Linked DNA regions of Arabidopsis thaliana. The protein of the gene in region 2 interacts with the protein of the main gene of each other region in a pairwise test. Each region holds a gene or a part of one and is shown on either strand. Other genes may lie near its edges.

Region 1 (8,585 bases), on a different chromosome or scaffold from region 2:
GATATTCACACAACATTATTAAGTCAAACTGGAAAGCTCTATATTTGGAAATATCGTTAATTTTGTTTTGTGATTTGTAAGCATATTGTTTGATTGCTATAACAATCAGAGCCTATAATTCGGAATTATTGTTGGGACCTGCTCTTCATTGGTCATGATGATTTTCTTTAATTCTCATGTTTTTTTTTTTTTGACAATTGTATAGTTCATTGAACACAAAAGGAAAACTGGATAGTGGATTTGCCCCACAAATAGACCCATCAAAGCAGATATGATCTTCCAACGAGTAGTCACTTATTGAATTTATATTTAACACGCTTTTGCCTTTATTTTATTCATATTTTGTTGAAAAAGAAAAAGAAATCTAGTGAATAGCAGAATAGTGATACTAATATAGTATGTAATCTTACTGTACTGATAATATATTTAAATTTTATCTGAAACATCATCTGTTTATGAAAGGAAAAGGAAAAAGCTTACTAAATTGATGGTACAGTTCTGAGACAAAATAATCTTTAGTAACACTATACTTTTTTCAGGCTTACTCTAGTGTTGTCTTCTTCAAACGATGTCGTTTGCGATGAACCGAACCTTCCACTTCTTTCCAAGGGTTCTCTCCTAACTGTCCCCAGCTTGAGAATGAGTCATAGAGAAAAACGATCATGAGGGCCCAAGCCAGCCTTTTTCTTGGTTACACCCTAGGGAATGCGCCCACTAAACTTTCAAAAAGTATCTCGAGTCCTGAAAGTGAAGCGGTTCGTTTCCCCAAGAGGTCCATCCGGCAGCCATTTCCCTCGCAAATAGCTCAAGGCACCGAGCAGGTTGAGACCCGGGAGTGTGTTTCAGTAGTATATCTACACAAAGTCCAAGTGGAAACAAACAAGAATCAGGGGAGCTTTAGACCAAGAATTTGAAAAAATTGCATTATCTACTCTTGAATTTGATGAAGCCAATCGCAGAACAAAGCTGTTGAAAATATAAACATAAGAATACCTCCAATTGGGGGTTTCCTCGAAAAATCACCAGGGATGCTCATGATTATCTGGTTCTTGTCCAAGAGTTTAAAATCTGACCTCTTTTCTGATCCTGCAAGCTATGACATGTATACACAACATGGCTGTTCAAACAGAAGTTCCTTTCTCAGATTATTCAAGTGACAAAAAAATGAATTGACTTACTTCGGTAAAATGGTAGCCTAGTAGAAGGTACTCATAAGGTTTATGATGGACCAGGTCCAGGTCGCAAATCAGTGTACCATCCGGTTTCACCTGAAACATTTACATAGCAAGTATGTAAAATGTCAAGTCATATGTGCAACTCAGAAACCAAGATGGGGACTGAGAGCTGCAAGATGAGCTCACCTTTAACCAATACATTGTAGCTACATACTTAATTCCCCACGCAGGGAATAGCTCTTTCTCAACAAAACTTAGTAATTTCTCTCTATTTGTCACCCACAAAGCCACGAGAGCTCCTTCAGCATGAGCAAGCTGCTTGATCGGAAGAGATAAGAAGTATTGGTTCGGTAAAGTAGGATACCTAAAACAAAGAACCAAGAAACATTGGTCATGAACTTTCAGATACAAAAAATACTTATCCACATGCATACATTAAGTAGATAACGAACTTTGATTTCTGATGAGCACTTGCATTTTCCCAAGGCGGATCAATAACTATAAGATTGTAGCCTTCTTCAGATTTAGCTGCATATATGACATCAATAAGACTATTACATCGCCTACCGATATGATAATGACTGATCTTTTCTCACATGACTCAGGACCAATCAACAAGAACCAGAATACTCTAAAATCTCAGCTTTTAGCAAATTATCTATAATGGACAATAGCACAAGACTTACCAGGAACGAGGTTTCGGATGTGATGTAAATCAGACTTCAAGGCAACATGGTAAAAAGAACTGTAATATCAGAAGAACCATTTCACACAGCAACTAAAAGTTTCCATTTTTTTATAGAATCATAAAATCAGACAAGTAAAAAACACAAACCATGTAGAAGCAACTGTTTCTGGGCATTATATATCTCCGGTTGGAAAACTCAGCTTCAACTTCTTCTCCAATCTCATTCACTACTAGGTTATTGAACACTTGAAACACTCTCTGTTCATTACAACTCTCACCTATCAAGTCCACAAAACACCATCAAATTCATGGGTTTCAAATACGATCTAGCAAGTGACATAGAGAAACCAAAAAACCTTCATTGTCGCAATGTAGATTAAAACTCAGTGTTATCTCATAGAAAGGAGCTTGCCACACTCCTCCAAGCTCAATAAAAGAGACTTCATCGTCACAACACTTGTTCAACAAACTAGAATCATCATCATCATTATCATCACTTAGACCTTTCGTTAAACTCAACAACTCAATTTCCTTTAGAAAAGATTCATGGGCTTTCGATAAGAACAGCCTCGCTTCCTGATGACGAAGATTCGAAGCTTGCTCTCCTACACTAGGAAGGTGAAAGCTAGAGTTTTTCTGCTTCCGTTTTCGCTTTTTCGGATTAGACTCGCTAGAGTGTTGATTGAGTTGCTTCGAATTGAAGAAACGAGAGTAGTAAGCAGAAGGTGAAACCTTAAATCGGGTATATGAACGGTTGGTGATACGAACTGTGTCTAAGAAGAACCAATTGAATTCGTCGGATTCGTAGATACCAGAATCAAGGAATTGAGCTAGCTTATCAGTTTTCGCCATTTAACGGCTCCAACACTCTCTAGTCTCTTTGTTCAAACAAAACCCTCAAAGACGACGATAGAGACAGACGTGTAGGATTATTCTCATTAACCCCTCGAATTTTCATAATTGACCACAATTAGTCACCTAATTTTGAAATGTAACAAGTAACCCCTAATTTAGTGCAAATCCTCTGAAAATTTCCCGGTAATTAATGGATTTTGTTCCAGCCTCTAGATTTCGTAGGTTTATGTTTAAAAACAATAAAGAACAAAAGAATGAAAATTTTGATTTTTATGGGAGGGGAATGGTAGTAAGGGTAAGCATTAAAAGTTACGAATAATTGAAGCAGGCGTTTGGTGAGGGGTCGCTTTGACAGTTTCCCCAAATATGGGGACGGTTTTATTTTTGGGTGGGCTTTGTTAACTGTGACAATGACAATGACTCGATAAAAGTTTTGGACAAATAATTGATCCAAACATGTAACTTTCATATAGTAAGAAAATCATGTATGATTGTATGTAACACAAAAAAAGAAAGATAAAATATTCATAGATCATATCGATCATCTACCTTTATAAAACCTTTATAAAACCTTCTTATAATCGGTCGAAAAAAGGTTTTTGTATTTGCGTCTCTTGAGCTCTTTTGATGATAATATCGATGTGTGTTTAATAGTGTTATCATTAAAGAGACACAACATTAAATCCCTTAGATTTTCTGTATCTAATATACCCAATTATCCCATCGACCAATTTGATTGCTTTTTAGCCATTATATGAGTTTAAAGTTTATGTTCAATGTTTATCTTACTGTATTTGATCCATTTATTTCACTTACTAAGCAGTACTTGTTTCGTTTATTTTGCTGTTTTGAGAACCTGGTTTTCATAAAGTAAAACATTGTTCTCAATAATAATAAAAATCTAGTAATGGAGAGAGCAATAATTATGAAAGAAAGAAAATTATAAGATAAGGACAAAGAAGATCCAAAAAAATTCAAACTATGGAAAAAAGTTACGTGACTAAGGGTATAACCGTCATTTAAATAAAAACGGGTCCCATCTATCTCTGTCTTTATTAAACACCAGTCAACCATTCAGGTCAATCGCGTGTTCTGTAATTACCAAAAGTACCCCTCCGGTTAAATCCAAACAAAAAAACCGGTTCTGTTTTTGCATAACGCATATAGTTTCAGTACAATGCTGACATGGCTTCTTCTAATTGGTCCCCGTGGTGAAAAACCTGTCTCTATCATCCTCTCTTTCCCTCCTCCTCTACCTTCTCTTTACTCTGCTTCTTCTTCTCTCATCTCTCTTCTTCTCTCTCTGCTTCTTCTTGTGGGACAAACCCTAATTATTTTACTTCGATATCTCTCCACTTTTCCCGCTCAATCATCTGATCTTTCCCTCTCTCAGCAATGCATGATCTTCGATTTTCTATCAGTGTTCAAAGCTGAAAAAAATCGAACTGGGTCTGTTGATTTCTTCAGGTCTAAAATCAGATTAGATTAGAGAAGAAGAAGAAGAATGCTGGAAGCTGTAGATAGCTCAGGAGTGGTGAATGGAGGATTCCCGCAGATTCAGAGCTTTTACGGCGATTGCAGTAGTGAAGAAGAGTTATCGGTATTGCCACGTCATACAAAAGTGGTGGTCACCGGAAACAACCGGACGAAATCGGTGCTTGTTGGTCTTCAAGGTGTTGTCAAAAAAGCTGTCGGTCTCGGTGGTTGGCATTGGCTGGTAAAGTTATTTGATTTCTTTCCTTTTTTGGTAAAAATGTTATCTTTGTTGTTTCCTGTTCCGTTTTCCATTTATAGTTAAATTTCGATCTAATCTAGTGTTTTGTTCTCTGTTTTCTGGATTTACCAAGTTTGCAATTGATGAACATAATTTGGGTTTTGGGATGATTTTGTATTTCAAATTTGGGTTTTTTTCCCTTGAATTTCTCAACATGATCAACTTTAAATTAGATATAATCATTCATGAGCTTCGATTTACTAGTTATAGATTCACTAATCAAGTCAATAATTATGTTTCCTCGCATCTAATTTTAAACCAAGAATTGTTAGTTTGATCGAAAATCAAATCTACTTTTGTATTTACCAAATGTTAAATCTGTAAAATTTTCGAAATCTGGCGATTGAACTTGTTGCATGCATGATAGCATTCAAGTCACCATTATTGCTGGATTTTACACTGTTTAACCTTGTATTTATGGTTCTTAGGTAGTTATTTTATTCATGAAACCCTTGAGTGATTTTTATTTTTCTTTAAAAATTAGTTTGCATCAAATAAAGATTCTGAAACATTTTGGTATCTTTGATTATTTTGGTGTTTCATGCTGAGTTTCAGGCTCAATTTAAGGAATCATCTATAGGGGATAAGTGATTTTTGAGTTTGCAAACATTAATTAGGCAAACCAAAAAAGAGGCAACTTTATTTTGGCGCCTGGTCAATAAAACATCATAACAAATATGCACTTGTTATCTAATTCTCCATCATATTTCTTGACATTTTTGTTCTCCACCTTAAGGATCCAAGCTGGCTTTTTGAAATTTGTTAGTCTTTTGATTAATGTTAATCATTTGTTTTAGAGGTTTTTCTTCTTTTTTGTTCTTTCTTAATTAGTTGAGTCATTTTCGTCCCCAAGCAGTGTCACTTCTGTCGATTACTATTCTTTATAAAATCTTTATGCTTTGGTTGGCTAGTTTATATTATAAACTGCTCTGCAAGATCTTTTTGATAGTGTCTCTGTGTATGTGGACCTAAAGGAGTAACTTCACCATATTCTAGCTTTAAACTTTAGAGAATAATCCATATAATTTACGAATTTCTTCAGTATCACGATTATGTTTTACTATTAGTGATATCACATTCCACCAGTTCTTGTCTCCCAGAATTCCTATGGAAGTAACAGTAGGAGTTGAAGTATTAAAATCAATGTCAGTACTTGTTTATGGAGTTAAAAGTATTTAATCAGAATTATTGTTGTGCTTTTTGGTTTGTAGGTTTTGACAAATGGAATAGAAGTAAAGTTGCAGAGGAATGCGCTTAGTGTCCTTGAACCTCCTACTGGAAACGAAGAAGACGATGATCTTGATTTCGAAAACACACAGAGGAATGGCTCTGATATGAGTAAGTTTTGTTCCTTGTTATTTTTGTAACGATTCTGCCAATTTGTCAAAAACTTGATATAGAGATCTCTAAACTTGATTTAGTCTCCTGTGAGCTACTAAGTGATATATTGTTCTTTGATGGGAACCCTTTTAACTGATTTTTTTCAGACTTGTTTCTATGATAAGTTGTTTCTTTTCCAGCATCTGAGGACACACTGAAGCCTCATAAGTCGAAGCTAAGAGGGCAGAGATCATCTCGGTCATCTCACAAGACGATGAGCAGGTCTCTATCATCTGACTCGCAATCAAAAAGTTCGGGTTTTACTCCTCCTGAAAACATGGTATGCATTCAAATTTTTTGACATCTATTCCATTTGAAGATAATGCAACAAATCGTAAGTTTACTGATGCTATATCATATGCTTTCAAGCAGAAGGTTGATCTTAGCAAATTGGAAATGCCTGCTTTACTGAATTATTGGCGACATTTTAACCTTGTAAGTTGAATTCCAGAAGAAAAGGAAGAGAAGAAACTTACTTTCGTTTTCTCAATCTTGTTTTCTATGTGCTTGCTTCTGAAGAAACTCTTTGTAGGTGGATGCAATTCCAAATCCATCAAAGGAGCAACTAATTGACATTGTTCAAAGGCACTTCATGTCTCAGGTACGTCAACATCTCTGAGCCTTCACTGTGTTATGGATTTGTCTTAATTTTGTCCTGATAATCAATAAAATGGTGTAAATAACTGTGAAATGAATACAGCAAATGGATGAGCTTCAGGTTATTGTGGGGTTTGTCCAAGCTGCAAAGAGAATGAAGAAGGCTTGCAAGTTTCAATCCAAAGAATCCAGAAACACTGATCTTAACTGCATCAGCTAAAGAAAAGCCCTGACTCTTAACAAATCCTGTATGTACGGTACATCAACTTGTTTAACCATTTGTGGCTTGCTAAGTTTAGTTCTTCTAGTGATGTTTGGCTAAAGGGTAGATGTTGTTTCTTCTTTGCTTCTGTTGTTTAGCCAATGTAAGTACCATCAAAAAAACCAAATAACTCTCTAAAGCTCCCTATTGGAAACTATCTTGTCTGATACGATCTGGAGTGACCGGTATGTTGTTAGAATGTAAATATGTTTGGTATCACTTCTCTCACTTTTTTCTTTCATTTCCTTTAACCTCAAGTCAAATACAAATTGTCCTACCCAAAAAAAAAAAAGAAACTCCTACCAAAAAAACCATTTTACTCAAATAAACTTTGATATTTTTATGTAATAATCTTTTTTCTTAAACAATCAAATATATAAAGTTTCATCTTCTTTTTGAAACATAATCTTTGATTATCTCCTCCTTGTTGATAATAATGGCTATGCATGCCGTATCTCATCTTTTGTTTTAGAAACGTCACCTTTTTGTATTTGTGAAGGAGATTAAAGAGACAAATAAAACATAAAAATATGTTAAAAATGATCAATCTTTTTATTCATTGATAAATAATAATAATTAATGAATAATAAAGGCGATTTTTGCCTAAGAACAGAAACTGATCTCATAATTAGCATTAGTACAAGTAAAAGTACTGGAAGCATCATCGTATGCATAGCTATACGCACTCGGACAAGCTTGTTTAAATATCTTCGAGTAATTCGTGGGCGGACAAGTCGCCGGTGTACTATACGCGCCGGTGCAACAATACTCCGGCTTGTTAAAAGCCTCACAAGCACTCTTACACGCTGCAACACCCGATGGGCCCGTAACTTGTAGCTCTTTTGGACAAATCGCGTTCACGTCCGAAACGCATCCCGCGGTTTTACAATCCCCTGAGCCACCTTGCGGTGTGATTTTCATCTGAACGTTATAACCATCTACGAGGCTCACGTCGTAAAAATCTTGCACGGCGTTTTTCTTTCCGGAGGAGCCGATTGTGAATTCGGCGAGTGTGGCTGGTGGAGCTCCTCCTGCGCCGGCGCATTTTAACTTGCTGCCGCAGTCCCCGGTACCGCATTTACCTGAGCCTGAGGCGTCGAAGTTACAATACGTTCGAGCCCAAAATCGACCGGACCAACCTGGAGAAACGGTGAAGGTTACGGAAGATCCTGAAGCTAAGGCAAATCCGCCGTCGCCGAGTTGTGCGCCGTTTGCGGTGAGGATTCCAGGCCAGATTGTGGAGCCGCAATGGTTTGTTAAGGTGAAGGTTGTACCGGAGACAGAAATTGTACCTTGCAATACAATTCAAAATTAATTAATTATAAACGAAGATATTTTATGAAGATAAATTATTGAATCAAAGTAGTAATCAGAAAATGTTGGAAATGGTTTATGTATACATGTGGCTATGATGAAGGAGATGAAGAGAAGATGTGATGTGGAGAAAATCGCCATTGTTAATTTGAGTATTGAAAATTTGAAGCTGTGAATGATGATGAGTGGAGGAAGTTGATGGTGAGGATCCTCTATTTATAGCGTTTTCTCTCTTCTTTTCAGAACAAGAAAAAAAATCAACTTTAGCTTATTATTTTGGATACTACTTACCATAAAGTGACACATCATATATTGTTTTTACTTTTATTAATTTATGTGATTATTTTTCTTAATTACATAAAAATCAACTTTCATAATATTAAATAGATCTTCCGTTCAATAAGCTGATTTTTTCCCCTCATATTTTGTTAGCAAATATGAAAGTTTATCTTTTTATGTAATTAAGAAAATCTACAAGAGATGTATAAATTGGCAAATATGACGTGTCAGGTAGCAACATTTACTTTGCAAAATGCTCCC
Region 2 (7,472 bases):
TGATTCTGATTTCTTCTTCTTCTCAAGAATTGGTAACTTTTTTTCAAGAATAGATAAAAGGAATAAAGTATCGTACACGATAAATGTGTTGCTATATATATAAACTTGTATTACTTTCAATTCTTCTTGTTACAGGTTAATATGGTGCGTTATTACATAAATCCTTTTTAATTAATTATTAGTCGTCCTAAGTATGTGAAAGTGGCACCAACAAATGAGATATTTGTTGTTGAAGAAATTAAATATAAATATCGTCATATATTTGATGGAACAAAATGATAACTCTGTCTTCATCGTTATAGCTAGATTCCTAAAAATGGAAATCTACTTGTAACAGTCGGACCATTGAAAATTCCTTTTATTTTCTCTTTTTAATTATTAGGACTCTTTTCTTTTCTTTTTTGCTTTTTTTACATAGAGCGCGATGTTTCAAATTCAAACTAACTCATTTTGTTTCCAAATGTTATGGCTCATGTTCTTCTATAACTAGTTATTGTACCCTTTTCAAGCTATCCTAGCGTGTTCTTTTATTTGATGCTGCGCCAGCGGCAATAGCGGACTGAAACGACGTGTCATGAGAAGTAGTAGGTAAGTAAAACGACATTAAAGCTTGAAAATAACAATTTCGGATGAGTCGCCGATGATAGCCGATGAATTGCAATTGCATCAAATGAATCGCTGAAATTAAGCAGCGTCACGTCAATCTTCATCATCGTACATCTTTTGCGGCAGTTCTTCTCTAATCAATGTATTTTTTCTCGCCGCAGATCTGTTTTTCTTCTTTGTTGTCGCTGACGCTGCGTTCATTAAAAGAACACGCTAAATTAAATAGAAAATTTGGTTTTCTAATGCGGTGAAGGATTGATATATTATACTCGCAACCATGTATCTTGATTGAACCGTGATTCAATATGTTTGGTTAAAATGTCTACTTGATCTAAAATCGGACGAAGTAAACTACGTGCGAAATTAATGCTGATTGGTTTTACAAATTTGTGAACTTTTATTTGGTCAATGAAAAGGGGCAGAAAATTCATCATTGTTTTGAAGCTCTCGCAGAGCTGGTTAAATATAGTAAGATGTTGGGTTAGGTAAAATTGTCTTTAAAAATGTTTACCTCTGAAAATGATTGAAAAATGAGATATTTTCCTATATATATATATATATATGTATGTATTATTTACTTACAGTTTGATACATATATATGTATTCATTCATATATATATATGCAATCATTTACTTACAGTTTAATTGCTAATATCTGAATGATTATTTTTAATCAATTTTTTGATGTTTTTGTCCCTTGTTGTATCTGCATCATTTGATATGTTGACGATTCTTTCAACGTTATTCATCAAAACGGTAACTAATTAATTTTAGGTTTTAAACTTGGAAGTTAAATAGGGGACATTTCACTTTTTCTACAAATTTTTTCGACAGTTCAATGGAAAACGTCAAGTTAATTTTCGGCTAATGAGATATTGAAGCTCAATGGAGTTAATTAACAGATCATAAATGAAACACGTGTAAGGGAATCTGCTACTCTTTTGTATTGTAGGCCTTAACTTTTTTTATCGATCAGTCGGCGTGTCAGTGTCTTGTGGTCTTAAGGAAAAATATCCGAACCTCATCATCTCCACGAGTTAAATAGTATATATCCTTCTTCTTCGTACGAGGTTAAGACAACTAAAATCTTAAAAAATAAATTAAATACTTAAAATCAATGAATCGTTTCATATATATACATATATATATATATAATATTTATGTGCTTCGATTAATTAGTACATGTAACTATTTTACGAACGTTTAGTTATCGCCCATTTGCACATAAGTTTACAAACAAACATAGAATCATCACATTATATATTGTGCAAAATTCAAATACAAGATGATAAATCTTTACATCTTCAACTACAAACACGATATATGATATCAAGTTATCAACCAATCAAGAGCTGTAATCTAGTAGTTTTTTATTTTTTGTTAAAAAGTTGTAATCTAGTAGTTTCATTTTCATCTATCTTTTTACATTATAGAAAAATGAAAGTATAGAAAAATGAAAGCTTATCAAAAGTTAGTGGGCTACATCTACATTATATTAAAAAAATATATATATATATATATATATATATATATATATATATATATATCAATAACTAGATCGGACAGTGACCAAACCAATCTCGTTGTGTCCAATCCAAGAAAATAACAAAGGAAAGTCGTACGTTTGATGATATAAAAACCTTTTTATGTTTGGACGAGTTTCATAGAACATGGTGGACAAAATTATAGTACTATATACTATTTAGTATCTCCTTTTGAAAAACAGTAAGCCATGTAAATGAATTTGTACAATTAACAGCTATTTAAAAAGCAAAAAAAAAAACAGTGAATGTTTATTTACAAAGTTCCGAAGGGAAGAGGTTGTGGTAGTGGTTAGGGGCATGCCAAATACGGAAAGGGAGGCAAAGAAGATCGGGTAGTCTTCATAATTTCATACTTTTCACTTTGTAGTAATCTTTCCTTTTCTTTTTTAATTTCATCACCAATGTTTCTTTGTTCAAATTCATATCCACACACTCTTTTGGAAATGGCACTGCAGCTTCATGTGAGGTGTGGGGTCATTGCGCCTTATCGTCTGAAAATGTTACCCTCTTGACATTCAATGACCCCATTTTCTTATTTTCCATAATTTCTTTTACCATTTTACTATAACAAGAATGATGCAAAAGGAATAGGCAAAAAACAGCATATTATTTTTTAGTGGGATCCTAGTAGGTCACTTGAAGTCTCTATGCATTGATTATGGATTGCTATATTTGTCTCTCTTTTTATTTTTGAATTTCGAGTTAGTGATCTTCAATGTGTGTTTCAAATATAGATATTCAAAGGTTATAAACCAAGAAAAGAAAAAGTAGAAAAAAAATATATATATTTCAAATCTTTTAAACGGACCATTGGCAACAAAATCTATAAACGAGTTAGGCCCAAATTGTTGTACAAAAGGCCCATTAGGTTAAATAAGTATGGGCCTAAAGCGGTCCGATCAATCTCTGTGCCATTACCTTCTTCTTCGTCGTAGTGATTTCTCTCGAGAGAAAAAGAGAGATGGCTGAAGCAGCGAGAAGACAAGGTGGTGGGAGACCATTACCGCCACCTCCGAGAGGCGTTAACCAACAACCTCCTCGCCCTAAACCTGAACCTGTCGATCGTGAAAAGGTTTGTGTTCGATTTCATTATTCGCGAATCGTTGAATCATCATCCTTTAGGGTTTCCTTTTAGGGTTTTTATCTGTACTTATTGATTTCTTTATCTTTAACCTTCGAATCGCAGACATGTCCCCTTCTTCTTCGTGTTTTCACCAAGGTACTCTTCTTCACTGATTTTACTGAATGCAAGTTTAATCACTGGAGAACTGGCTATGTTTGTTTCTGAATTAGTCTGCAAATTAGGATTAATTGGGTAGGTTTGATTGCAGAGTGGTGGTCATCATACTAGTGAAGATTATGCTGTGAGAGGCAAAGAACCAAAGGATGAAGTTCAAATCTACACTTGGAAAGATGCCAGTCTTCGCGAGCTAACAGATTTGGTATGTCTTCTACCATTAAGATTTAGATTGGGTGCTTGAGACAACAATAAAGCAGCTTGCTTTGAGAACTTTTCTTGTGTAGTTTTGTTTTTACAAATATGACGGATTTTCAGCTAAAGGACTCACTTTGTTTTTACTGCTGAGGAGTGCTGATTAAAATTCACATTTTTGGGGGTTTTGTGTAACGTACAAAGGTGATGCTTCTCTCATAAGCACAATGTTAAATCACGTTTTCATTGCAGGTTAAAGAAGTTTCTGTAGCAGCTAGGAGAAGGAATGCTAGATTGTCTTTTGCGTTTGTTTATCCTAACAATAAAGGTGGCTATAATGTGAGAGAGGTAAGATTACGTTCTCTTCACAATCTTGATCAGATAAGTTGTCACCGTAGCCACGCATGATCATTGATGCATTCTAGAGTTTCTGTGTTTTCCCCTGCCACACCTCTTTGTCGCACATGTAGCTACCAGTATCATTCGGAGTTTTGTCAACAATGTTTCTCTTGTACATGTCTTTCGCTTATTGACAACTCATCTTCTCATGGTTATTGATTTTTGAAACTTCAGAGAGACCACATAATCATAGCTAGTTACTACAGAATGAAGTAATTTGATTGAATGGATGCTTTCAGATTCAATCGTTATGGCTTTACTTGTTCTCTTGTGATGTTTGCATATGTATTCAAGAACCCATGAGAAGAGTCTGATCTTGTGGTGTTGTTTCTGTTAATTGATAAAGGTTGGGGAGACGATGGCTTATCCAAACCGAAAACAACCAGATGACAGTAAAACGCTTTCCGAACTTCCGTTTGAGGTAAGTTTTTTACATGCATAGAAGATCATCTTGTATGATGATTATATAGTCTATAACATTAATTTTTCATATTCTGTTACCCAAGTAGCTATAACTGAAGTTGATCAATCTATCTGCAGATTGGAGATTATCTGGATGTGGCAATTTACTAGGAGGTTTCTGTTTCTTGTTAAGTGGGATTTGGGTGCGTGCACAATGGAAGAAGTACACATTCATATGGTTGTATCATCTTAAACTTCGTTTAGACATGTTTGTATTTTTTGGATCTAGTCTATGTACTAATGTCTAATGGTTTAGTATGTTATCCTGCTTTTTTTGTTTAACGTGTTTTCTTTTCTAAAGAACCAAAAAAAAGATGGAAGAACTCAAGCCATTTTATATACAAAAAGGTATAAATTTAGACTATCTATAGACTATAGCACATGAATATGTATTAAATTAAGATTTCAACCCAATTTACTTTTATTAGTAGAATTAATACTCGCACTTAACGTCGGAGAAGTAGCTGAGAAAAAGAAATCGTGAAAAAAATGAGAGAAGAGGATGAATTTAGACAACATTAATCATCAAAACTATAGTGATAAACATAGAAGAGTGGGCAATGCATTTCAAATATTCTCAAAAATAAAGATATAGTTATGGAATTATACAAAAGTTTAATAGCAAAATATGAACGTTGCGTTTACGATTCCCTATATTGTTCCAACGTTAAGTTTGATTAGACTTGAAAGTTGAAAGTATAATAAAATTTAAACGTTGAAACGGTAACATTTTATTACCGTTAGAAGATAATATTTTATTACAAAAATTCAGATAAATGGCTCTCTATAAATACTCCCATCTTGGGTCAGAAATCGGAATCCTCTTCATTGGTTCATATTTTACAAAATGTCGAGAAACAATCTGTTTTTATTTCTTAATTCTGGTTCTTCCACTTGAGTCAAGACCTCATTCAAACAAACATAAAGCATCATCCTTACAAGGTAAAATACTCTGGTCTAAATCCTCTAGTGTTTACCGTTAAATGGTTTTTTTTTTTTTCATTAAATGGTTCTTAGTAGTTTGTTCACCTGTTCTTCATCTTTTAGTCATCTTTTAGGGAGTTGAACATGAAATTCAATGTCTGTGTTGTAAATCCATTGTGTATGTATATGTATTGCTGGCTTAACTTCAATGATTAGGACAATAAACTGATTTTTAGCTATATTTGTTTCTTTCATAAACTGAGCATTTTAGTTAGATATATATATGTTCTGTCTAAAATGAATTTCATTTGCTGTGTTTTAAATCCATTTTTTGTGTATATGTATTGCTGGCTTAACTTCAACGACTAGGAAAATATTTTTAGCCATATTTGCTTCTATCATAAAACATTTTTAGTTATGTATCGGTTCTGTCTAAATGAAAACATAGAAAAAGGTTTTTATTTTATGAAAAAACAAAGATAGAATAGGTTGCCTATAAAATGCTTTTGATTTTTTTGTAAATAATATATGCATATACCAAAAATGATAAACGAAAAAAAAACGATTGTAATGGAATATTGATTTTCGTTAATTAATTTTGCAAGGGTTGATGAAGAAGGGAAAACAAAGCCTTTGGGACTCTATCCAGCGTGTTGCAATCAAGCTTTGCTAGCCTTTGTTGAATTTTACTAGATTGTGCATGTGGCAATCTAGTGATTTTGTATCTTTTTTCTTTCCTGATAAGATACATGGATGTGTATAAATGGGCGTATAGTGATGTGTAAGGTGCGTATAGATGAATGTATAGGCGTAGATGAATGTATAGATGCATGTATAGGCGTAGATGAATGTTTAGTGATGTGTAAGGTGTGCGCATAGATGAATGTATAGGCATAGATGTATGTATAGGCGTAGATGAATATGTAGGTGTAGATGGGCGTATTAGTAGAGTGTGTGAGCGTAGAACATTAGACAAACGAGGGACAAAAATGCGCAACGCGGGCCGTAGCCAAAGAAAAAACGCGAAGCTTAACAAAACACAAAAAAAAAACAGACGCCAAATCGCAAAGTCAAAGCGACATAGTCGAAACATGTAACAAATGGCAAAAACAAATAAAGCATAGTTGAAACTCTAACAAAGACAAGATTAATCCGTGTCGAAAGACAAAATTAATCTAAGTCGAAATTATCAAAAACACTTTAAAAATAAAAAACAACTGAAAAAGTTATTAAAGCGACTTCAAAATAACACTAAAATAATCGAAAGAGAAAATTAATAAGTCGAAATTATCAAAAACACTTTAAAAATAAAAAACAACTGAAAAAGTTATTAAAGCGACTTCAAAATAACACTAAAATAACATTAATATCCTTTAAAAACACCAACTTTCGAAATCTATTAGGTTACGGCTATAAGTCAGAATGTGCAATTGAATTACTTTCATGCAGACTTCGGCTACATTATCAAAAATCGAATAACTTTCGAGTCATGTTGAAAAATGTTTAGGATTTACGATGTGTCAATGAGAATTGGGAATTGGAAGTGTCAATGGGAATTCGAAAATTTAAACATGATCCAGAGTTCATGCAAAAATTTAAACCAGATCCAACAAAAAGTAGTAAACTGACTGATGATTTAGATTTAAATGTGACATTTTTCCCATACTCCTAACGATCGATAGCCAAAAACACAATTCCAACGTTCGCTAGTTGAAACGCCCAAAACTGAACGTCAAAATACAACTTGCTTACGTCATAATAACATTGAAGAAAAAATAAAACCAAAGGTGAAAAATAGAATGTCAGAATGTCACCTATCAAAATAACACGTTAAAATTTGCCTATGCACATAAGAAAAGCAATCGTTCGAAACACTGAAACTATGTAAATCAATCATACAACTGCCATGAAAGAGCGAAAAAAACAACCCAAATGTAGGACTCAAACTTTCCCAGCTTAACCTTGGCGATGAGACCCATCAAAGAACAGGAGTTAAAAGAGGTTTATTGGAGAAGAAAGCTTCAATATTCCCTACTACAACTTTCCCAAGTTCTTCAAGACCTTCCAATGTCATAAAAGCACTATGTGGAGAGAAAACAACATTA
Region 3 (8,354 bases), 1.4 Mb from region 2:
CATCGGCGGGCTCAGGAAAGCTGATATTCCGAGACGTTACCGAATTCGGGTTGAGAACGACCGGTTTCAGAAGGATTGGAGTGTATCGGAGGTTGTGGACCGGCTTATGGCTCTCAATCGTTGGGAAGAAGTTGATGGCGTTCTTAATTCCTGGGTCGGCCGGTTTGCTAGGAAGAATTTCCCGGTTCTTATCAGGGTATGTATGTCTCGATTTCGATTGGTATTATTCACTGATGCTCTTTTGAACTTATTGGAGTTTTGAATTTTGTAACTTTGCAGGAGCTTAGTAGAAGAGGGTGTATTGAGCTTTGTGTGAATGTTTTCAAGTGGATGAAGATTCAGAAGAACTACTGTGCAAGGAATGATATATACAATATGATGATTAGGCTTCATGCTAGGCATAATTGGGTTGATCAGGCTCGTGGTCTCTTCTTTGAAATGCAGAAATGGAGGTATGTGTGAAGTTTTTATCTGAAAATGTTCTATATTGTAAGTGCGATTATCTTGGATATTAATTTATTGAGAAGGTATATGGTATGGTTGTAGCTGCAAACCGGATGCTGAGACGTACGATGCTCTTATCAATGCCCATGGTCGAGCTGGTCAATGGCGCTGGGCTATGAATCTTATGGATGACATGTTACGTGCTGCTGTGTGTAACTTTGCTTTACTCATGTAAAGTTTACATTTTTGTTTTGGGTTTCCATGATGCCCAACTAACAATTAAGAATAATCTATTTCACTTCTGATATGGTTTTGACTTTTGACTCTTCTCTGGTTTTGCAGATTGCTCCTAGTCGTTCAACCTACAATAACCTGATCAATGCTTGTGGTTCTAGTGGAAACTGGAGAGAGGCTCTGGAAGTATGCAAGAAAATGACAGATAACGGAGTTGGACCGGATTTGGTCACTCATAACATTGTGTTGTCAGCATACAAGAGTGGTCGTCAGTATTCAAAGGCGCTATCTTATTTTGAGCTCATGAAGGGAGCTAAAGTTCGTCCCGATACTACAACTTTCAATATCATTATATATTGTCTGTCAAAGCTCGGTCAAAGTAGCCAAGCCCTTGATCTTTTCAATTCCATGAGGGAGAAGAGAGCTGAGTGCAGACCTGATGTTGTGACATTTACGAGCATCATGCATTTATACTCTGTCAAGGGAGAGATAGAAAACTGCAGAGCCGTGTTCGAAGCAATGGTTGCAGAAGGTCTAAAGCCTAATATTGTTTCCTATAATGCCTTAATGGGTGCCTATGCTGTTCATGGAATGAGTGGAACTGCTCTCTCAGTGTTAGGAGATATCAAGCAGAATGGTATTATCCCAGATGTGGTCTCTTATACATGCTTGCTCAATTCTTATGGAAGATCACGTCAACCTGGGAAGGCAAAGGAGGTATTCCTCATGATGAGGAAGGAAAGGAGAAAGCCAAATGTTGTTACTTACAATGCATTGATTGATGCTTATGGGTCTAATGGGTTTCTAGCTGAAGCTGTGGAAATCTTTCGGCAGATGGAACAAGATGGCATTAAGCCAAATGTTGTTTCAGTATGCACTCTTTTGGCTGCTTGTAGTAGGTCTAAAAAAAAGGTGAATGTTGATACTGTACTTTCCGCAGCACAGTCGAGAGGCATTAATCTCAATACGGCAGCCTATAACTCAGCCATTGGAAGCTATATAAATGCTGCAGAACTTGAGAAGGCCATTGCATTGTATCAGAGTATGAGAAAAAAGAAAGTCAAAGCTGATTCTGTTACTTTCACTATCCTTATAAGCGGTTCATGTAGGATGTCAAAATACCCTGAAGCAATTAGTTACTTGAAGGAGATGGAAGATCTCAGTATTCCATTGACAAAGGAGGTGTACTCTTCGGTTCTATGTGCTTACAGCAAACAGGCAAGTGCTTAGAGTTTGAGCTCAGAAGAAGACGTGTGTATTCAATAGAATTCTGATTTTCATATGGTTTGACTGTCACTTTCTTTGTGATAATTTCCAGGGTCAAGTTACAGAAGCAGAATCCATATTCAACCAGATGAAAATGGCTGGGTGCGAACCTGATGTGATTGCATACACTTCAATGCTCCATGCTTACAATGCTTCAGGTAAATACCATGAGTGTAAGACTGTTAAAAATGGTAACAAAATGTTTTCAGTGGATCTGAGTTGGCTTGGAATGGTTTTGTGTTGCCAGAAAAGTGGGGAAAGGCTTGTGAACTCTTCCTGGAAATGGAGGCAAATGGAATAGAGCCAGATTCGATTGCTTGTTCAGCTTTGATGAGAGCTTTCAACAAGGGAGGTCAACCGTCAAATGTCTTTGTCCTGATGGATTTAATGCGGGAAAAAGAAATCCCCTTCACTGGTGCGGTCTTCTTTGAGATATTTTCGGCTTGTAACACGTAAGTTCTTGTATGTCTATTTAAAACATTACAGTAAAATACTTGCTCGAATTACAGAAAGAGCAATATATCACCCTTCTTCTTTCAACATTGCAGCTTGCAGGAATGGAAAAGAGCAATAGACCTCATCCAAATGATGGATCCGTACCTGCCATCGCTTTCTATCGGGTTAACTAATCAGATGCTGCATCTTTTCGGGAAGAGTGGTAAAGTTGAAGCAATGATGAAGGTACAACGAACTTTTAGTTGATCAGCTAATTAGACTTCCACATTATCTTTCTTTTCTGCCAACCTGTTTACAAAAGAATGTTAACGAAACCATGTTGTACCACTAAACACACGCAGCTGTTCTATAAGATTATTGCCTCTGGTGTTGGAATCAACCTCAAGACTTATGCAATACTGTTGGAACATCTTTTAGCTGTTGGAAACTGGAGAAAATACATTGAGGTAATACTTTTTTGTTTGTCTCTTGCCAAATGAATTTCAATTAGCAATGACCAAGCAAGTTTTGCGGTTGAGAAATAAAATTTGACTTTTGTGTGAATGATTTGCAGGTTTTAGAATGGATGAGTGGTGCTGGTATTCAACCCTCGAACCAAATGTATCGTGACATAATCTCCTTTGGTGAAAGAAGTGCAGGGATCGAGTTCGAGCCTCTAATACGCCAAAAATTGGGTGAGATGAGAGAGGAATGCAAAATAAATGATTCTGTCACATGATTTTCGATCTTTTTGGTGTCTCACATTTCATTTTTTGTTGGTTATTCCATAGAATCACTGAGAAACAAAGGAGAAGGTCTGATTCCAACTTTTAGACACGAAGGCACATTGTTGTAATTTCCACTATATGCTTGTATTTTTGGCCCAGTGATTATGCATATGATGTTTGTAACTTGTAATCTCCTCTATCGATAATATGATAATTCAATTCAGAAAACGAAATCATTTTAGTATTGAAAATAAACGTAGATTGTTGGCTAGAGTTACATATTGAATTGCTATAGGATCCAGCTTGTATGTGCAGATAATAGATAAACTGATACAAGACATTCAATTCAACCAATCATTTCAAAAAGTTTGAATTATGATTTTTAAATGGAATGATTCGATGTGTAAGTCATTACAACGGTAGCAATATGAAGAATCAAATGGTAGGAAAGAAAATCCGAATTTAAAATATTCCGAAAATTATTAAGCTTAGTTTGATAAACAAAACAACAACATCGTGAGTGTACCATAGGAAGAATATTCCTTGGAACGAGGCGAGAGTTGGGAAACACTTCACATTAAAATGTCAGAATCCAGAAACAGATCACGTACACGTGGACATAATTAGTACACGTCAGCATATAAACCTATTCTACTAATGACGAAAGCACCCTCGTCTCCGTACATAGCCGTTGCAGTTATTATCTTTCGCTTCGTTGAAAAAGGAAAAACAAAATTGGGACGTAATGGTAAATTAAGTCCGTAATTTTATTTTGCCGTTGTTTAGATTACTAGAAAAGACTCAAAAATCAAAATCATTGTATTCGGTGAAAAAGGAAAGAGTCAAAGTTGAATTTTCTCAGCTCTCACTCTCTTTTTCTCTCTCTTTACTTCTACTGTATCAAGAAGCTCCGTTTTGCTTAGCCATAGTGCGTCTAGGGTTTGGTTGGTGGGAAGAAGGTTCCGATCATGGCGTCGGTGTCGTCGTCGGATCAAGGACCTAAGACAGAAGCAGGATGTAGCGGCGGAGGAGGAGGAGAGAGCTCGGAGACAGTGGCGGCGAGTGATCAGATGTTGTTGTATAGAGGTTTTAAGAAGGCGAAGAAGGAGAGAGGTTGTACAGCTAAGGAGCGTATTAGTAAAATGCCTCCGTGCACTGCTGGGAAAAGGAGTTCCATATACCGGGGAGTCACCAGGTACTGTGACTTTTCAAATCGGGATTGTCGGTTTATGATGCGGAGGAGATTGGAGTATAGGTTTGGTTGTGAATTGGGAGTTGTGTTATCTGTATTAGAGTATGGAATGTTTGGATTGGTGGATATGCACTTTGGTTAGGGATCTTGTGTGGAGCTAAATTATCTGGAATCTGTAAACTGTTCTAAAACACACTAATTTTCACCTAATGTCAGATTTTATAGTGTCTAGGCTCAAACTAGAAGAAATGAGTAGGTGTGCTTAGCATCTGTATGAGGTTTTTGTTCCATAGCAGTTGGAGATGTTGATGCGTTTTGTTTGTCGTATTTGTGTTGAGTACAGACATAGATGGACAGGTCGTTATGAAGCTCACCTTTGGGATAAGAGTACCTGGAACCAAAACCAGAACAAGAAGGGAAAACAAGGTTCCTCTTCTTCTTTTTTTTTTCTCTCTGCATCTGATAAAATTGCTGTTGTCATTTGCAATAAGTTTTCTCTTGTTTGGAGTATCAAAGCTGATCTTTTCTGTTTCCTATATATTTTCATGGGTGACGGAATTTCGCCACACCAGTTTATCTAGGTAAGCTAAAAGCTTTATATGTGTTGATTATATTCTTGTATATCAAATTGGATAATTTTTCACTGAAGAACCCAACTCTTACTTGACAGGAGCATATGATGATGAAGAGGCTGCTGCTAGAGCTTACGACCTTGCTGCCTTAAAATATTGGGGTCCTGGGACACTTATAAATTTTCCGGTGAGATTGCTACCGTAGTATGCTTTCTAAGTTACTCTTCAACCGTGTGGTTTCCTTAATAATTTTCATGGTCAATATATATGCATAAGTGGAGTAAGGATGGTTAGAAGTGTTTTGGAGCCACCCTTCTCAAGTTTCACTGTTTTTAGCTACATGCATTTACGTATTTCATTCTCGTAGGTGACTGATTATACCAGGGATTTAGAAGAAATGCAAAATCTCTCAAGGGAAGAATACCTTGCATCTTTACGTAGGTGCGTATGTATTTAAAAGCACTATAGTTTTCTTTTAAGAACCATTTATTGCTGATACTCTTTAGATATCCCTTTGGCAGAAAAAGCAGCGGTTTCTCTAGGGGAATAGCGAAATATCGTGGACTTCAAAGGTAAAACTGGACCAGCAATTGAGTTCTCATTTCTCTGTTTTGTCTGAAAAACTATGGAATCAAGAGTGATCATCTTTGTGTAATTGCCTATAAGGAAGATTCTTTAGTGACACATTGTGGATCATCACGGTTTTGATTAATTGACATATGGTGGATATGCTACTAGTTAATTTCATAGAAAAGTCTATATGCTACTCTTAAGAATAGGGATATGGCAAAACTATCTTCACTGTTTTGGCTGTAGCCCTCTTTAGTTTTGTCTTTTTAACCTTCTTTCTCACAATTAACATTCATACCTGATATGCATTTCTGCTGTCTTTCCATCTATTCTGCACTTCCCGACCAGCCGATGGGACGCATCAGCCAGTCGTATGCCTGGACCTGAATACTTCAGTAACATTCATTACGGTGAGTTGCTAACAATATTGACCTAATTGAAACAAATGTTTGCTTGCATCAGACTATTCAAAACTCATTGTCATTATTAACAGGGGCAGGTGATGATCGTGGAACAGAAGGTGACTTTCTAGGTAGCTTTTGTCTGGAAAGAAAGATTGATCTAACAGGATACATAAAGTGGTGGGGAGCCAACAAGAACCGTCAACCAGAATCTTCATCAAAAGCATCAGAGGATGCAAACGTCGAAGATGCTGGTACTGAGCTTAAAACACTGGAACACACATCCCATGCAACAGAACCATACAAGGCGCCAAACCTTGGCGTCCTTTGTGGAACTCAGAGAAAAGAAAAAGAAATATCATCACCATCAAGCTCTTCTGCTTTAAGCATCTTGTCTCAGTCGCCTGCCTTCAAGAGCCTAGAGGAGAAAGTGTTGAAGATCCAAGAAAGCTGCAATAATGAAAACGATGAGAATGCAAACCGTAACATCATCAATATGGAGAAGAATAACGGCAAGGCAATAGAGAAACCAGTTGTGAGTCATGGAGTTGCTTTAGGCGGTGCTGCTGCTTTGTCTCTTCAGAAAAGCATGTACCCACTTACCTCTCTCTTAACGGCTCCATTGCTCACCAACTACAATACATTGGATCCTCTTGCAGACCCTATTCTCTGGACACCATTTCTTCCTTCAGGATCCTCTCTTACTTCAGAGGTTCGTAGTCATATATCTATAGAACCAGAGACTTCAGAGGTTACTACAACACATCTTCCTTATGTCATTTTCTTTGGCTCTCTTTCTTCTGCAGGTGACAAAGACAGAGACCAGCTGTTCCACGTACAGCTACCTCCCACAAGAGAAATGAGCCGTTCCCTTTAGACTTTATGTATGTCAGATTCTCCTTTTTTGAGATGAATTCGTCGACTTGACATCTCTTTGTCTCTTTTATGGAGAAAAAGTTGGGAAAAGTGTGACAATGGTCTGAAGCAGGAATGTACAGGTTTTGTTAGTGGTTGTGTTTTTTTTTTTCCAGTGTGGAATATAGAATCATGATATTTTGTGTAAAACAGAAAAAAGTTATCATTATAGTATAGAAGTTTGCTCTTAATATTTCTGCACAAGGTATAATATAATTTGATTGTGACCGATCTAATTATTCATCTCTACCAAATGTTACGACTATGTATTATCACATCATCTGCACAAGACTTATCTAGCTTTGATACAACTAACTGAATCCTATTACCCAGACAGGGACTGAGTATATAATAGTTCCAATCGCAAAAGAAACCACAATGGTAAAAGATGCATACGCATAGGCTCTCCATGGGTAATCACTTTCTCTCATCGCATTGAACTCAGCCATGAAGGTCGAAACTGTGCTCAGACATCCCAACAGACCAAACTGTATGCTCGAAGCAACCGTGTTACATGTTCTCGTGTTCACCTGTTTCCCAAAATATATACAATGAATGTTATCTTTTGTGATTTGATCTGTTTGGTAGAGAGAGGAGGTGAGGAAGTTTATACCGATTTCTTCAAGGTAGCCAATGCTGCCATAACGCAAGCTGCAACTACATTTGCAATGAGGGTGCCAAATGGGACCCATCTCAAATTTTGACTATCCTTTCCCAGCCCACGTCCATTGAGTCGGGCTAAGAACCATCTGAGCCAGACACCAGGGGCTGCAACTAAGCAACCAAACCATAGCTGAGCCTCGCTTGTTCCTTTGTCAAACTCTTTCACAAGCAGTATGGAACTGGCAGTGAGTAAAGCCACAAGCAACAGAAGCATCAGGGTCAGAGACACAATATGGCTCTGGAAGGTGTTAACCTTAAGACAATGGAATTTATCCTCAGAAGAAGCTCTTCTATGAAGAAGCCATTTAAACCCTTTGGCCGTTTCCACTCCCAGAATTATGGAGTATGACGTGAGAAACAATCCTGTAAAGTCGTTTATGCTGTAAGCAAGTATGTTTCATCCAATTTAGTAGGTGATTGGAGATTGAGAAGGGAATTTTTTGTTTTTACCTAATAAAAAGCCAAGCACAGCATACACCCATTGACCATCAGCACTAAGATCCAGCATTTTCTGGTTCCAACCGCTGAATGTTGTCAGACTCCCCAAATAACCAGTCGATAATCCTATCGCCACAAATTCAGAAACTCTTGCTATATCTGCTTTGAATACAACGCCAAACCAACCCATCAAGAATGATCCTACCTATAAGGAAGCATTTGGAGAATTTTTATTAAGAAAGATAGGTTTGTAATTAAGTTTGAGATGAGTGCATTGCGACTTTCACCATGTTGGAGGGAAGATCAAGGTACAAGATGCTCCCATCACTTGTTACTCGAGCACCAGTTGGCCCAAACAATTTTTGCAGCAAATATCTCGTAATGGCCTGTATATTTGGAGTCAACGAGTTGATTATAATGATTTAAACAAAAACAAAGCACAACAGAGAGACAGACAGAAAATGGAAAATAAGCATTTTACCCCAAAAATCCCAAA

The links. The genes of interacting proteins can lie anywhere in the genome.
Region 1: the proteins of SAP18 (region 2) and AT1G19330 interact in a two-hybrid assay, tested with the Arabidopsis thaliana proteins (one study listed by BioGRID).
Region 3: the proteins of SAP18 (region 2) and AT2G41710 interact in binary tests that used the Arabidopsis thaliana proteins (3 or more experiments, as listed by UniProt).

Annotation. Positions count from the first base shown.
Region 1 is NC_003070.9:6,678,928-6,687,512, reverse strand, and holds AT1G19330 (histone deacetylase complex subunit), read left to right. Parts: upstream 1-3,979; 5' UTR 3,980-4,222; coding exon 4,223-4,435; intron 4,436-5,703; coding exon 5,704-5,830; intron 5,831-5,997; coding exon 5,998-6,152; intron 6,153-6,241; coding exon 6,242-6,307; intron 6,308-6,404; coding exon 6,405-6,473; intron 6,474-6,572; coding exon 6,573-6,689; 3' UTR 6,690-6,950; downstream 6,951-8,585. Other genes in the region: AT1G19340 (Methyltransferase MT-A70 family protein), read right to left, coding at 715-854, 994-1,093, 1,179-1,268, 1,362-1,539, 1,628-1,703, 1,862-1,895, 2,011-2,141, 2,220-2,715; AT1G19320 (Pathogenesis-related thaumatin superfamily protein), read right to left, coding at 7,335-8,023, 8,132-8,186.
Region 2 is NC_003071.7:18,796,963-18,804,434, reverse strand, and holds SAP18 (SIN3 associated polypeptide P18), read left to right. Parts: upstream 1-3,051; 5' UTR 3,052-3,111; coding exon 3,112-3,222; intron 3,223-3,336; coding exon 3,337-3,369; intron 3,370-3,481; coding exon 3,482-3,592; intron 3,593-3,834; coding exon 3,835-3,930; intron 3,931-4,327; coding exon 4,328-4,402; intron 4,403-4,521; coding exon 4,522-4,554; 3' UTR 4,555-4,907; downstream 4,908-7,472. Other genes in the region: AT2G45630 (D-isomer specific 2-hydroxyacid dehydrogenase family protein), read right to left, coding at 7,346-7,472. UniProt on the Arabidopsis thaliana protein: Links the histone deacetylase complex to transcriptional repressors bound to chromatin. Involved in the tethering of the SIN3 complex to core histone proteins.
Region 3 is NC_003071.7:17,398,625-17,406,978, reverse strand, and holds AT2G41710 (Integrase-type DNA-binding superfamily protein), read left to right. Parts: upstream 1-3,928; 5' UTR 3,929-4,075; coding exon 4,076-4,302; exon of another isoform or gene 4,303-4,362; coding exon of another isoform or gene 4,363-4,436; exon of another isoform or gene 4,437-4,524; coding exon of another isoform or gene 4,525-4,555; exon of another isoform or gene 4,556-4,615; intron 4,616-4,642; coding exon 4,643-4,725; intron 4,726-4,871; coding exon 4,872-4,880; intron 4,881-4,969; coding exon 4,970-5,058; intron 5,059-5,238; coding exon 5,239-5,312; intron 5,313-5,377; coding exon of another isoform or gene 5,378-5,392; coding exon 5,393-5,443; exon of another isoform or gene 5,444-5,789; coding exon 5,790-5,851; intron 5,852-5,934; coding exon 5,935-6,719; downstream 6,720-8,354. Other genes in the region: EMB2654 (Tetratricopeptide repeat (TPR)-like superfamily protein), read left to right, coding at 1-196, 280-452, 547-652, 787-1,896, 1,997-2,102, 2,192-2,396, 2,493-2,625, 2,742-2,846 and 2 more; AT2G41705 (camphor resistance CrcB family protein), read right to left, coding at 7,069-7,287, 7,371-7,783, 7,871-8,063, 8,146-8,244, 8,340-8,354.